Saccharomyces cerevisiae S288C: one gene and its partners. The protein of the gene in region 1 interacts with the protein of each later gene in a biochemical or structural test. Each region holds a gene or a part of one and is shown in the gene's direction. Other genes may lie near its edges.

What was found. Proteins that work in one complex are often made in the same cells at the same time.
Region 2: the proteins of RPN10 (region 1) and DSK2 form a complex in vitro, tested with the Saccharomyces cerevisiae proteins (7 studies listed by BioGRID, with this or other methods).
Region 3: the proteins of RPN10 (region 1) and UBI4 form a complex in vitro, tested with the Saccharomyces cerevisiae proteins (14 studies listed by BioGRID, with this or other methods).

The regions. Positions count from the first base shown.
Region 1 is NC_001140.6:496,512-501,880, forward strand, and holds RPN10 (proteasome regulatory particle base subunit RPN10), read left to right. Parts: upstream 1-2,567; coding exon 2,568-3,374; downstream 3,375-5,369. Other genes in the region: AIM18 (Aim18p), read right to left, coding at 1-769; AIM46 (Aim46p), read right to left, coding at 979-1,911; NBL1 (borealin), read right to left, coding at 2,060-2,208, 2,276-2,348; PPX1 (exopolyphosphatase), read right to left, coding at 3,439-4,632. UniProt on the Saccharomyces cerevisiae protein: Multiubiquitin binding protein.
Region 2 is NC_001145.3:815,811-820,448, forward strand, and holds DSK2 (ubiquitin domain-containing protein DSK2), read left to right. Parts: upstream 1-3,016; coding exon 3,017-4,138; downstream 4,139-4,638. Other genes in the region: ubiquitin-ubiquitin ligase BUL1, read right to left, coding at 1-2,771; FCP1 (protein serine/threonine phosphatase), read left to right, coding at 4,446-4,638. UniProt on the Saccharomyces cerevisiae protein: Involved, with RAD23 in spindle pole body duplication. Involved in the ubiquitin-proteasome proteolytic pathway.
Region 3 is NC_001144.5:63,562-68,212, reverse strand, and holds UBI4 (ubiquitin), read left to right. Parts: upstream 1-3,005; coding exon 3,006-4,151; downstream 4,152-4,651. Other genes in the region: E3 ubiquitin-protein ligase PRP19, read left to right, coding at 1-1,468; ENT4 (Ent4p), read left to right, coding at 1,695-2,438; membrane morphogenesis protein VPS13, read left to right, coding at 4,568-4,651. UniProt on the Saccharomyces cerevisiae protein: Ubiquitin exists either covalently attached to another protein, or free (unanchored).

The DNA.
Region 1 (5,369 bases):
AATCGTCATTTTTCCTGACGGATCCCTTACGTGAAAAGGCATCATTTAACTCACTTAGGCCCTTCGCCAGTGTGTCTTTATTATTGGCCACATCGGGATGTTTAGAAATAGTTTTGACCAGGCCCTCCTTAAGATGCTTAAAATCTGTATTCCTTACGGGAGTTATCTTGGCTAGCATTCTCATTCCAGAATCCAGTAAGTCATCAATCATCATAACGGATTTTGAGTCATCACGTTTCAATAATCTAGCTAGATTCTCCTTAGGAGTCTTAGAATCATCCACATCAAGGAAATATTTATGTAAATAAGTTTCATTTAGAGTGTCTGAAACAAGGTTTTCGTCATTTTCAGCTAGATAAAGACCCAAGGCATAGACCTTGAACCTCAAAAACGTGACGTGCCTTTGACCATATCCCAGTAATTTAAAAGTTGTAGAGACAGGGAAATTTAAAGCAGTAATCGTTAGTGGGAAATCTGATACGCTAGAGTCTACCTGTATCGATTCAGTATGAGAAGGAAAAGCATCAGTTTTATCGTCATTTTGTACCGGACGATCACGGTAGTATAACGAAGTAGCGAGCAATGTTGACGCCGCAAACCAGGGCCAATAGTGGAACGTCGAATTAGAACGCCCAGGGTATTTAGTGGCTCGTATACTAGTAAAATTTCTTTTGAAACATTGCCAATGGTTGGTTGATGGAGATTTCTGACATTTAGCTAGTGTTCGCTGGAGTGATTTTAGCATATTGGCGCACCTTCCTCTGTCCATGAAGGGATTCTATCGCGGTTGTAACGCCGTAAGAGTTTTGAATTGATTTTTTCTTGTCAAAACCGAATAGCATTGTAAACATTTTGAGGGGTCCCTCCTAGAAAAATTGAGTCGAAAGGAAACTCAAAAAAACATCATTAGAGTATATGTGCAGCTTTTGGAACAGCGTATGTATTATGTAATTGTATGTAGAAGTCGGCGAAAGTGTCCTAAGATAGAGAGACGAGTGCATCGATTACTTCCTTCCTAGCCTCCGGAGAAGGAGGATCCACAGCAGCTAGGTAGTGGGCAAATAAGAGCTTTCCAATAAGGGGTTCCTTCACTGTGCCCAATATCACAAATTCATCCTTCTTTCTTGCGTAGTAAGACAAATTCATAGAGCAGTCCTTATTCAGCTCAATGAAAAAATCATCATCTCGAGCCACAAGTCCTTTTACGCTCCTGAAACAGTCATGCAATTCTTGGAATCCAGCTTCCAGCCGGTCTTTGTCTTGAGACTGAGAATCTGGGTTCTTTAGGACGCTCTTTTTGGTGCCGTCCATCAATAACTTGAAGGAACCTGCTTTTATCGGAGTATTCTTGGACATTAGTCTGATTCCGCTGTCTAAGAGGTTATTAATCAGGATAGGGGCCTTAGCAGGATCGTTCAAAGCCGCACGCAAATTATCCTGATGTGAGTTTTCCGGTGATGGGGGTGCCGCAGTGTCGATGAACGCCTGAGACAGGAACTTTGAGTCCAGTACTTCAGAGACCAGATGTTTGTCTTCAGCGGCCACATATATGCCCAGACCATATGCTTTGAAAGTGATCGATGAGACACAACGTACACCCTTACCAATCAGCTCATATTGCGTGGAGAAGGGCCACTGTGGGGGGCCCATCTTCTTAGGGAACGCAGAGATGGATGCGTCCACTGCAACGCTGGTGGCATCCGCCTTTTTGATCTGGGAATCGTCATACCATTTCTTCGCGAATATGGATGCCAGTGCTAACCCTGTTAACACAGGCACTACTTTGCTGCCCTTCTTGTTCACACGAGCATTGCCCGCTGTAGTAGAGTAGTGAGAATACCATTGTGGGGCCCTCCTCATACCTACCTCTAGGCAATTTGTTTTCACCAAAACTTTACTGATTAAACGCATGTTTCCATATACCTGGCCTTCTGCTAAGTAGACATGTATTCAACAAGGGGATGTAACCACACGCTGCTTTAATACCAACAAATCGGCCGCTGATTAGTAATAGGTGCATCATTGCGAATACCGAGAAAGGGTCCATTATACGAACTAATCATTCTATACGGCGTCCTTCCTGTTCAAGCACCTCTCTGATTAGTTCCTTTGATTGAGGCGCTGATGTTGCATCAGGCTGCTGGAGCAGATTTAGTTTCTTTAACGTCTCCTCTTTAATATTTTCGATCAGTTTTTCTGTTGTTTCCACTGAGGTTGTGTTAGTAATTAGTGCGGGTGAAGGTTGGGGGTAGAGTGTTGCGGTGAGGTGACATACGTTCCAGCTGCATTCGATGTAGTATTGCGCTGCGCAACTTCTGCCGTTCTTCGGGAGTGAGAGCCGGTATCATCGTAACCGAGTGCGGCAGCTGCCCTTTTGCTGATGTTGTTGCCACTTCTTGTTTACAATTGTATTCTCTTGAAGTTATATGGCATTATAGCTGCCGGGTTATTTCCGCCAGGCGGGTTTTCGCCACCGGAATTTACAACTAAATACACACTTATATCAGACTTTTAAAGCGTAAAGAAAGAAGGGAAAAGTCAATAAATAACTCAGCAGTAACCGCACAATGGTATTGGAAGCTACAGTGTTAGTGATTGATAATTCAGAGTACTCTCGCAATGGCGACTTTCCTAGGACAAGGTTTGAAGCCCAGATCGACTCGGTAGAGTTCATATTTCAAGCCAAGAGAAACAGCAATCCTGAGAATACAGTGGGTCTTATCTCTGGTGCTGGCGCCAACCCCAGGGTGTTATCTACGTTTACCGCCGAGTTTGGGAAGATTCTTGCTGGACTACACGACACGCAGATCGAGGGTAAGCTGCATATGGCCACTGCGTTGCAGATCGCTCAGCTGACTTTGAAGCATCGCCAGAATAAGGTCCAACATCAAAGGATTGTGGCATTTGTGTGTAGCCCAATAAGTGATTCTCGAGACGAATTGATCAGATTGGCAAAAACACTGAAAAAGAATAATGTTGCCGTGGACATCATCAATTTTGGAGAGATTGAACAGAACACGGAGCTTTTGGATGAGTTCATAGCTGCAGTGAACAACCCTCAAGAAGAAACTAGTCATTTGCTTACTGTGACGCCTGGCCCCAGACTGCTGTACGAGAACATCGCATCTTCACCCATAATTCTCGAAGAAGGATCCTCCGGTATGGGCGCCTTTGGTGGGTCTGGCGGTGATTCCGATGCCAATGGCACATTTATGGACTTCGGGGTAGACCCATCAATGGACCCAGAACTGGCAATGGCCTTGCGTCTGTCTATGGAAGAAGAGCAGCAAAGACAGGAAAGGTTAAGACAGCAGCAACAACAACAAGATCAGCCTGAGCAGTCTGAACAGCCTGAACAACACCAAGACAAATAGTAGTGTACAAAAATATCTATATGGGTCATATATAAACCAAATAAAGCATATATAACATCTCCCTTCACTCTTCCAGGTTTGAGTACGCTTCCTCTAAATAGGGGACGACTTGCTTTCTGGTGGCCTCGACGTTCAGTTGCTTAAACATCGCCACACCTCCATCAAGATTGCCCCCAAATAATTGAAGTTGGAGCTTGTCGCTAACCCTTTCAATGAGTTCACGTACCACGTTAGAGTCTCCCAATATGACCAATTCTCTGTGTGAATCACCAGCTTTCCTCCATGAAGTCAACAGAACCAATACATCGAGCCCCCTCTCCGCCTGAAATCTTCTGCATTGGTTGACGAAATCTGCTTCACCACCGTGTTCATTGAATAGCCAAGACATTCTTTTTACTATTGATGAAAGACCAATCTCTAACCCTTTGTGTCCCTTTCCTTGGAAATTGAATTGTTTGTAGTCCTTCTTTAGAATATCGCTTACCGAAAATCCTTTAATATCGTTCTTTCTTGATTTTATCTCTTTATAAAACTCACTGCTGTCCTCTAAACCTTGCGCAGACACTTCATTAACCGCACCACTAAGAACAGCTTGGCATCTCTCGATAGCTAATTTATCACTTTCCTCGACTTTGCGCCTCATATTTGAAGTGTCTATTAAGATGGCCCCCATCAAAAGTGGTGCAATGTTCATCACCACTTCACGGTCACCTTGCAATTTTTCATACCAGTAGTTAAAAACCAGCGATGAGCAACTGCCGGACACTTTTACAATCCGAGGTTCAGCATCCAAATGTTTTTGCAAGTCAAAATGGTGGTCTATAATGCCAACGACGTTATCTATATAATTTTTCAAATTCTTTGGTGTATCGTTATTATCTACCAAGTAAGAGTTTAATTCAGTACCCTGGGAGACATTTTGCTTCAAGCTCTTTAAATCTTCAATGAAGAATAATTCCTCCTCCTTAATTTTCAGTTTTTCTAGGACATACATTACGTCTCTTCTTAAACTGAGGTCTTCTCTAGGAATGTCGATAATTGGGACAATAAAGCTTCCTTTCTTTTTCTCCTCCGAGTAAGTACCTTCATTATATATGTATTGGCAGTACGAATAAGTGATTGCACTAGCAATTGAGTCCATATCTGCTGACTCGTTACCAACACATATTGTTAACACATCGTTGCTTGCAATTTTTGAAATTGGCAGTGATTTTAAGTGTGCCAAAAATTCAGGAACCGTCTTTCTCAAAGGCGACATCTTTCTTAACAATCGGTGTTTTGAACTTTTTGATTATTTGTTTCAAGTGGCTTTAGTTAATTATGTACACTTCGTTTCTTTTTTCTACTCTTAAAAGTGAAAAAAATGAAAAATCAGCGGCATGTATAGCATACAGATAATAGGAAAAAGGTTGTGAGTTATTCTTCGAGACTATTTCGACTCGTATTCTAAATTAGAATTCAAGTAGGTGGATAATGTGACAAAATGAATGAAGGTTAGAGCTTTACACAGAGTATTATCCTCGGCGTTTTCTATCAAAGCTTCTGGTTATTCCATACTTTTTTCAAGGACAGCAGAAACATATGCCATTTTACACCTCCTGGGAAAATAATTTGTAATTTTCTAGTGACTCAATGCTTGTTGAAAGTGATCTTGTATAATGAGTGTACACATGAGATGTGCAAATTTCTTCATTACTTAGCGAGAAGTGTACACTCTTGAATATAATAACACTAACAGTGGAATCATCGGTAATAATAATACTATTGATCGTAGTGAAAGCAAAACACGACTGTACTTGAGTTATAAATTTTGTTGCTGTAGAAATTTCAGTGATCATTCATTAGCAACTTATTAAGATGACGATTATATTTTACGGTTCTTTTCACAAACCATTATACTTGCTAAAGGTTGTAAAAGTCATACACTTTTTAACATCAAGATTTCAGTACAACAATTTCTTACATGTAAAATCGTTTGCAAATTAAGTTCGCCAA
Region 2 (4,638 bases), on another chromosome or scaffold:
TTCACATTAATGTCTCGTTTGTACTGTAAAGGAGCAATCCTAACCCATTTATGAACAATCTGGTCTGTAAATTTCAGGGAAGTAGACGAGCTACCGCTAGGTAAAAATAAACTACTCTTGGATGAAGAAGTTACTGGCGTTAATGACGCTGAACTGGGCGACGATGAACTACCGTTACCTGTGTGCGATATTGAATCCTCAGATAATGCGTGCTTTGAGTGTTGTTTTAGGGTACTGACCTGTTTTTTAAAAATGTTGGATAAGTTGTGAACACTAACTTTCAAGTTGCAAATGCTTTCGATATCGTTAAACAGCTGTGAAGTAATAAAATCTGTAAATTTCAGTTCCTTTGGCCTACGGTCTCCCCTATTCATATTATATAACTCATTTAATTCAAGAAAATTCTTGTTGAACTTGGTTTCATATTCACAAATTTTTGAATGGAAATCATCGTACAAAGCTTTGATGCTTGTCAGCTTCTCTTTGTTCATCAACAGTTCAGAATTGAGTTTTATTGGGATAGAATTATCAGATTTAGCAGTTATACATATCAGTTCTGTGGTAATCGATTGAATTTCTGGCGGATCATGAGGTAAGCTATTATCGGATTCTATGCAAGTCAATTGTAAATCAAGTTTTTCCAATGGTTTTTTTACGTCTTCCGGAATCAACTCAGACAATCTCACCCAATTTTCTTGGTCGTGTTTACTCTTAGATTCAAAAACATTGGTCTTTCTCAATAATGAGGGAGCCCAATATGGTAGGCCCTGTTTTGGAATTTTCGCCTTTACTAGTATTAGCCCTGTCCTTTCTTTATTTCCCGTTAAATCATGATTATTCTTTCCCGCATTTGAGGAAGAGGACATTGAGCTGGAACTGCTGTTTAAAAAATGAGAGAAGTTCAGAAATGAGGAGGAATTGGATTTGTTTTTCAGTTTATATTTTAGTTCACTTTCAACAAAGGGACCCCAAGCTCTGGAAGTATCGGTATTATGACCACTATTTCCACTGCGGCCATTGTCCAAATCGTGGCCCAACTTCAAATCGTTATAGTTGACTAAATAGTTATTTCTGTTCTTAATGTGCAGTTGGTCCAATTTCCTCTGCAAAATTTCTTGGGAGTCTGATTCAATAGAATCATCAATGGTACCACTCAAGTCTGCACCGTGAATGTCGCGGTTCGTTATGGGTTCTTTTTTCTCTAATCTCTGAAAGATTTTTCTAAGAGCATCCAACCTTTCCTGCACTAGTTTGGTGATATCATTCAGCTGACTCATAGTGGTTCTTTCTCCGACGACATTGGCGTCAAAACCAAAAGGGATTACTCTTAGATTATATTCTCTTTCCTTCATAATATACAGTTTAGAGGCCTTTTGATCTTTACCGACAATCCTTGCATCAATAGTGTAATTGATCGAAAGGTTGTCATCAGACATATCGTTAGTTAAGATGGGGGAGCCCTTTGTACCTAAATGACCGCACCCAAGTACCCTATTGACTTTGATACCGGAATATTTGCAATTGTTCCTATATTTATCAATACCAAAACTGGGAGGTAACAAACAATGAGAGAAATGCTCCTGCTTACAAGTGACATCTAGCAATTGCAGTGGCAATTTGAAAATGAAGAATTTCTTGTACTTGACTCCGGGTTCCAGAACCCGGCTATTGTTTAGCCCAAATACAGAACCATCGTAGTCAACATCTGCGGGAATGAAGTCCACACCGGACCCCAGTGCTATTTTCGAGTATGACCAAGAAGCGCTCAAGTCTACCATCCTTAAAAACCGTTTAATCGTTCTTTTACTCTTTACTTTATCAATAATGGAAATGTAAGACTCTAAAGTGACATAGAACATTTCAAACTTTAGGTTTGCTTGAGATTTGTTTTCAATAGTGATAAAACCATGAATCAAATCCCCCGACGTATACTCTTTCAAAATGGACTCCTCCTCCGGCTTCACGTGTGGTATAGGTGCATGCTTCGTCGTCTTGATGGTGATTTCGATGGGTGTGGACATTTTTGGTAAAGTGTACAATTTGTCGATGAAAATGTTGTCTGTATCGTTCAAGTCATCAAGTATGGGAGGTATATCCAGTGAATCTTCATCGACAGCGGTTGATTGATGTGCTGCAATACTGTGATGTTCGGTTCGAAGGGGAATTAAGTTTTCTAAATTTGATGTTGACGAAGAACGTGTGGCACCCAATGCGTCAGTGGACAATGATTGATGTGAGAGATCAGCGCTCGAGCCCGCAGCACCTGTTGCAGTAGAATTATTGGCCTCTTGGTATGAAGGTGGGAAATCATGCCTATCTGGATCGACGTTGCCCTGCGGAATGTGCCTATGCAGGGTATTGTACATCTCAAATGAGGGCAGTACATCAACAACATTGTTGATATCTCCGTCGGTCAAGGACCTTCCGGTCTCGACGGGGGTCGCATTTGCAGTTGATCTTCTCAAAGGAGAACGATTACCTCCAGCAGGCGTTCCGGTGGAAGGAGCATGCGAATGAGAATGTGCTAGTTCGGGACGTCTTAGTCCAAGGATCCCCGTAGCAGACGCGCTTCTTATCCATGATTTTGGAGAGTGTAACGACGGTGACCTCGAACTGCCTTTACCACCCTCTTGTTTCTGCCTACCACGCCCCCTTGTGTTTGCATTAACGTTCATAGTTGTCGAACTATTTGCGGTAAAATCAGATCGTTGAGGACGCAGCAAAGGCTTCCTCTTCGGTGGAAACCCCGAATCGTTCAAATCTTTGGCCATTTAGCGTACGATATACCTGTTGACACACACGAACAGTCTCTTTTCGCCCTTGCTAAGAGCTTCTTTCCATAATCACTATGCGGCTCTTCATTGCAATACTTTTATCATTATTAAAATAGCCTCTGAGAGCGGGTCACGGCCCGCTGAAGGGAAAGAACAATTTAAAGCCAGTTTTAAGTTCAATCCACCGATGGACGAGAGGCAAATAAGACGGATCAAAGACACCGAATCATTCTAGCACGATAATGTCGTTGAATATACATATCAAGTCAGGACAAGACAAGTGGGAAGTAAATGTGGCACCTGAAAGCACAGTGTTGCAATTCAAGGAGGCGATAAACAAAGCGAACGGTATCCCGGTGGCAAATCAGAGATTGATCTACTCGGGTAAGATTTTAAAGGACGACCAAACCGTGGAGTCATACCACATTCAAGACGGTCACAGCGTCCATCTGGTCAAGTCACAACCCAAACCACAAACCGCCAGTGCCGCTGGCGCAAATAACGCCACCGCCACCGGTGCAGCAGCTGGCACTGGCGCCACCCCGAACATGTCGTCAGGTCAAAGTGCAGGCTTCAATCCGCTGGCCGACTTGACCAGTGCCAGATACGCTGGATATTTGAATATGCCATCTGCAGACATGTTTGGCCCGGACGGTGGTGCATTAAACAACGACTCGAATAACCAAGACGAGCTGTTGAGGATGATGGAAAACCCCATCTTCCAATCGCAAATGAACGAGATGTTGAGTAACCCTCAGATGTTGGACTTTATGATCCAGTCCAACCCGCAATTGCAGGCCATGGGTCCACAAGCCAGGCAAATGCTACAAAGTCCCATGTTTAGACAGATGCTCACCAATCCTGATATGATTAGACAGAGCATGCAATTCGCAAGAATGATGGACCCTAATGCCGGTATGGGCTCTGCAGGTGGGGCTGCCTCTGCCTTCCCCGCTCCTGGTGGCGATGCTCCAGAGGAAGGCTCCAACACGAACACTACTTCCTCATCCAACACAGGGAACAACGCAGGGACTAATGCAGGTACCAACGCAGGCGCTAACACAGCTGCAAACCCATTTGCGTCTCTTCTGAACCCTGCATTAAACCCCTTTGCTAACGCGGGAAACGCTGCATCCACCGGGATGCCCGCCTTCGATCCTGCATTGCTAGCGTCTATGTTCCAACCCCCTGTACAAGCATCTCAAGCAGAAGACACCAGACCACCGGAAGAACGCTATGAACATCAATTAAGACAACTAAACGACATGGGCTTCTTCGATTTCGATAGAAACGTCGCAGCCCTCAGGAGAAGCGGTGGCTCCGTCCAAGGCGCTCTTGATTCACTACTGAACGGCGATGTTTAAATAAACGTCTAGATGCCGCAACCTATATACTTTTACCCTACTCTATCGGCATATATTTAATCTACGTATTACATGTATCCATCAATAATATCATCATAATATCTGGACACTTTTGGAAGACGCGCCCTTGCGAAAGAAAAAAAAAAATTTTCGTTTCACACCTACAGTAATAAACACATAATAACAACGAGCTAATCATCCCAATCAATCACCCCTTCCCCCTTTAATTAGCAGCCAGGGTACTGTATTTAGTCATATAGCGGTACTTGCATTGACCGCGAACGTGTAAACACAAGCAAAGCAGATTATGACCACACAAATAAGGTCTCCCCAAGGCTTGCCGTATCCGATTCAGATCGATAAACTCATTCCAAGCGTAGGTTCGTACCTTCATGAGGGTGATAGGTTGCTTGTCTATAAGTTCTGGTATTTGGTGGAAAGGGCCTCAGACACTGGTGACGATGATAACGAGCACGATGTTTCCCCCGGCGGCAGCGCCG
Region 3 (4,651 bases), on another chromosome or scaffold:
ATCACCTAAATCCAGGACTATTTTTGAAAAGTCGCTCCTTGAACAGTATGTTAAAGATACGGGGAATGATCCGATAACAAATGAGCCCTTAAGCATCGAAGAAATAGTGGAAATCGTACCTAGTGCGCAACAAGCCTCACTAACAGAGTCTACAAACTCTGCTACGTTAAAAGCGAATTATTCGATTCCGAATCTGTTGACAAGTTTACAGAATGAATGGGATGCTATAATGCTCGAAAACTTTAAGTTACGATCAACTCTAGATAGTTTAACGAAAAAACTGTCGACTGTAATGTACGAAAGAGATGCTGCAAAGTTGGTCGCTGCGCAACTATTGATGGAAAAAAACGAAGATTCGAAGGATTTACCCAAATCCTCACAGCAAGCGGTAGCTATTACGAGAGAAGAATTTTTACAAGGGCTGTTACAATCTTCTAGAGACTTTGTAGCGAGGGGCAAGCTCAAAGCACCCAAATGGCCGATTTTAAAAAATTTGGAGCTATTACAGGCACAAAATTACTCCCGTAACATCAAAACATTCCCATATAAAGAGCTTAACAAATCTATGTACTATGATAAATGGGTGTGCATGTGTCGCTGTGAGGATGGTGCTTTACATTTTACCCAATTAAAAGATTCGAAAACGATTACCACAATAACTACACCAAATCCCCGTACCGGGGGAGAGCATCCAGCTATTATTTCCAGAGGGCCTTGTAATCGTTTGCTACTACTATATCCAGGTAACCAAATAACTATATTGGACTCAAAAACAAACAAAGTCCTCAGAGAAATAGAGGTAGATTCCGCCAATGAGATTATATATATGTATGGTCACAACGAGGTCAACACAGAGTACTTCATCTGGGCGGATAATAGAGGAACCATAGGATTTCAATCCTACGAGGATGATTCCCAGTATATTGTTCATTCTGCTAAATCAGATGTTGAGTACAGCAGCGGTGTCCTACATAAGGATTCATTATTATTAGCCCTTTACTCTCCGGACGGTATATTAGACGTTTACAACTTGTCATCACCTGACCAGGCAAGCTCTAGATTCCCCGTAGATGAAGAAGCCAAGATAAAAGAGGTTAAATTTGCAGACAATGGGTACTGGATGGTAGTAGAGTGTGACCAAACTGTGGTTTGCTTTGACCTAAGAAAGGATGTCGGCACGCTAGCGTATCCAACTTACACAATCCCAGAATTCAAGACGGGCACCGTTACCTATGACATTGACGACTCTGGAAAGAATATGATTGCATACTCAAACGAGAGCAATTCGCTGACGATATACAAATTTGACAAGAAAACAAAAAATTGGACTAAAGACGAGGAGAGCGCCCTCTGTTTGCAAAGCGACACTGCCGATTTCACTGATATGGACGTGGTATGCGGAGATGGTGGTATTGCCGCTATTCTGAAGACAAATGATAGTTTCAATATTGTTGCATTGACACCCTAAATACGCTGACACGTTTGTACTTTCTAAATAAACCTGTGTAATAGTAGTAACATTTCCAGTAAAAATTTCATTTCCTTCTCTTTTTACATCTCTAGGACAACGCTTTAGTGAGAAAAAAAAAAAAAGAAAAAAGAATGAGAAAACGAAAATTGAGGTTATGTGTTGAATAAGCCTAGAAAGCATAAAGGTGTCAAAGAACGAGTACACATATAGTGAGGGGGTCGTGATGCCTTTGTTAGATACCTTCAAGAGTTTTATTCAATCACCGACGGAATCAAAGGTGAAACAGGCTACCAACGAGGACGAAACAAGTGGAGCAACGGGGACGCTTATGAACGAAATATCAATCTTGACCTACAGCCCCAAGACAGTACGAGAAATCATCCAGGTAATCCGGAAGCGATTGCTACTTGGGCAGAACAGAAGAAATTCTCATCGAAATTGTATCCAGGTGATGAAGACGCTGACTTTGGTCTCATATCTGATGAATAACGGGTCCAATGAATTCATCAAGTGGCTGAAAGGAAACATGATACTAATTGAGATCCTGGAGGATTTTCAGGTTCAGGATCCTCGGGATGAACGTAAGGCGGAAGATATTCAAAAGCTAAGCAGGAACGTTCTGGGGCTGCTGCAAGACGACGGGTTACTAGAAAAACAACGCAAGGATGTAATACAATTCCGCTCAAGCATATCGACTCCGGGCAGGAAGTCCACGGACAATAGCCATTTGAAGCTGGAGGAAATGAGAAGCGAGCTCACGCGACAAAGCTTAGAAAAGAAAGCAAAGCCTCCCACCACCAGCACTAGCTTAGATTTCCAGAGACAACGGACAAGGAATACGCACGAATATGCCCGATTCTCTTTGGATCCCCTGGCCGAAGAAGACAGTGAAGATACGCCCGGCGTGGCGGGTGGAATAAGCAAGCTCTCATTTAGACCCAAGTCTTCAAATAACCCGTTCAGATGATTTTAGAGTCTTCCTTGACCAATCATCTTATTCGCGCAGGGCAACCCATGATAGGAAATGTCCCTTTAAACGAACTGTGGGAAATCCTGCAAAAGTGATGAAAGTGACGTTTTATGAAAAGAAAGTGAAAAAGTTCTTGTTTGACAATATTCTATTCCGAAAAGTCTTTGTGGTCAGTATTGTTTCTAGAACGTTCTAGAATAATCCTGGATAAACCAATTTCGGTACCAAAAAAAAAAATAGCCGCCCAGTGGAGCATCACACAGCCGTACATCCGGCCACACACGGTGGTTACCCCACTTCGTTTCTTTTTTCAGGGGCGATGCCACTTATCAGTTGTTTTTAGAATTCAGTGTCATTTGAGGGCGGTTCCTCCTTTTGGGGGTATATATAGAGAGGCTCCGGGTTTTGCCACCTTTGAATTCGCCTGCTTATCTTTCTTCTTCCGAAAGTGCTACTTCAGAAAGAGCAAGAACTGTACGGATAAGGATAAGTATATCTTCTATCTACTACAATACGACAAGAACTCTCGAACTCTCCCTCCCACTTTACTTTAACTAATAGATTATGCAGATTTTCGTCAAGACTTTGACCGGTAAAACCATAACATTGGAAGTTGAATCTTCCGATACCATCGACAACGTTAAGTCGAAAATTCAAGACAAGGAAGGTATCCCTCCAGATCAACAAAGATTGATCTTTGCCGGTAAGCAGCTAGAAGACGGTAGAACGCTGTCTGATTACAACATTCAGAAGGAGTCCACCTTACATCTTGTGCTAAGGCTAAGAGGTGGTATGCAGATCTTTGTTAAGACTTTGACCGGTAAAACCATCACTTTAGAGGTTGAATCCTCCGACACGATCGATAACGTTAAGTCGAAAATCCAGGACAAGGAAGGTATCCCTCCGGATCAACAGAGGTTGATCTTTGCCGGTAAGCAGCTAGAAGATGGTAGAACCTTGTCTGACTACAACATCCAAAAGGAATCTACTCTTCACTTGGTGTTGAGACTGAGAGGTGGTATGCAAATTTTTGTCAAGACACTGACAGGTAAGACTATAACCCTAGAGGTTGAATCTTCTGACACTATCGACAACGTTAAGTCGAAAATTCAAGACAAGGAAGGTATTCCTCCAGATCAACAAAGATTGATTTTTGCTGGTAAGCAACTGGAAGACGGTAGAACGCTGTCTGATTATAACATTCAGAAAGAGTCTACGTTGCATTTGGTGTTGAGATTGAGAGGTGGTATGCAAATTTTCGTCAAAACTCTAACAGGGAAGACTATAACCCTAGAGGTTGAATCTTCCGACACTATTGACAACGTCAAAAGTAAAATTCAAGATAAAGAAGGTATCCCTCCGGATCAACAGAGATTGATTTTTGCTGGTAAGCAACTAGAAGATGGTAGAACCTTGTCTGACTACAACATCCAAAAGGAATCTACTCTTCACTTGGTGTTGAGACTGAGAGGTGGTATGCAAATTTTTGTCAAGACACTGACAGGTAAGACTATAACCCTAGAGGTTGAATCTTCTGACACTATTGACAACGTTAAGTCGAAAATTCAAGACAAGGAAGGTATTCCTCCAGACCAGCAAAGATTGATTTTTGCCGGTAAGCAACTAGAAGATGGTAGAACGCTGTCGGACTACAATATTCAAAAGGAGTCCACTCTTCACCTTGTCTTGAGGTTGAGGGGTGGTAACTGATCAGTCCTCGCAATATTTTCATTATGTCAATATATATATGTTTACTCTCCTTTTTTCTTTTTGGTTTTTTTTTTTTTTTGATAAATACTCCATAGAACACTAAATAAATTGTTCAACTGTGTTATTGTCTTTATTCATGTTGGTTTTCAAGAGCTTGGATTTTTGAATCGTCTTATACTATGACGTTCACTATTTTCGCGAAGCCGGGTAATACCATTAGCTATTTTGATAGAAAGGGATTTTTATTAGGGAATATAAACCACCTTTATAGTGTCCTATCATGTTTCAATCTCCAGTAAACGCACATAAGCCGACCAATTGAGTCAACCTTTTAACTCTATTTAATTTGATACGGATAGAATATTGTGACTACCAAAAGGGAAAAGGCAGAAAAAAGGAAAATTAAGAACAGTTAAATGTTAGAGTCTTTAGCTGCTAATTTGCTAAACCGATTGCTAGGCTCATATGTGGAAAATTTCGACCCTAATCAATTAAATGTC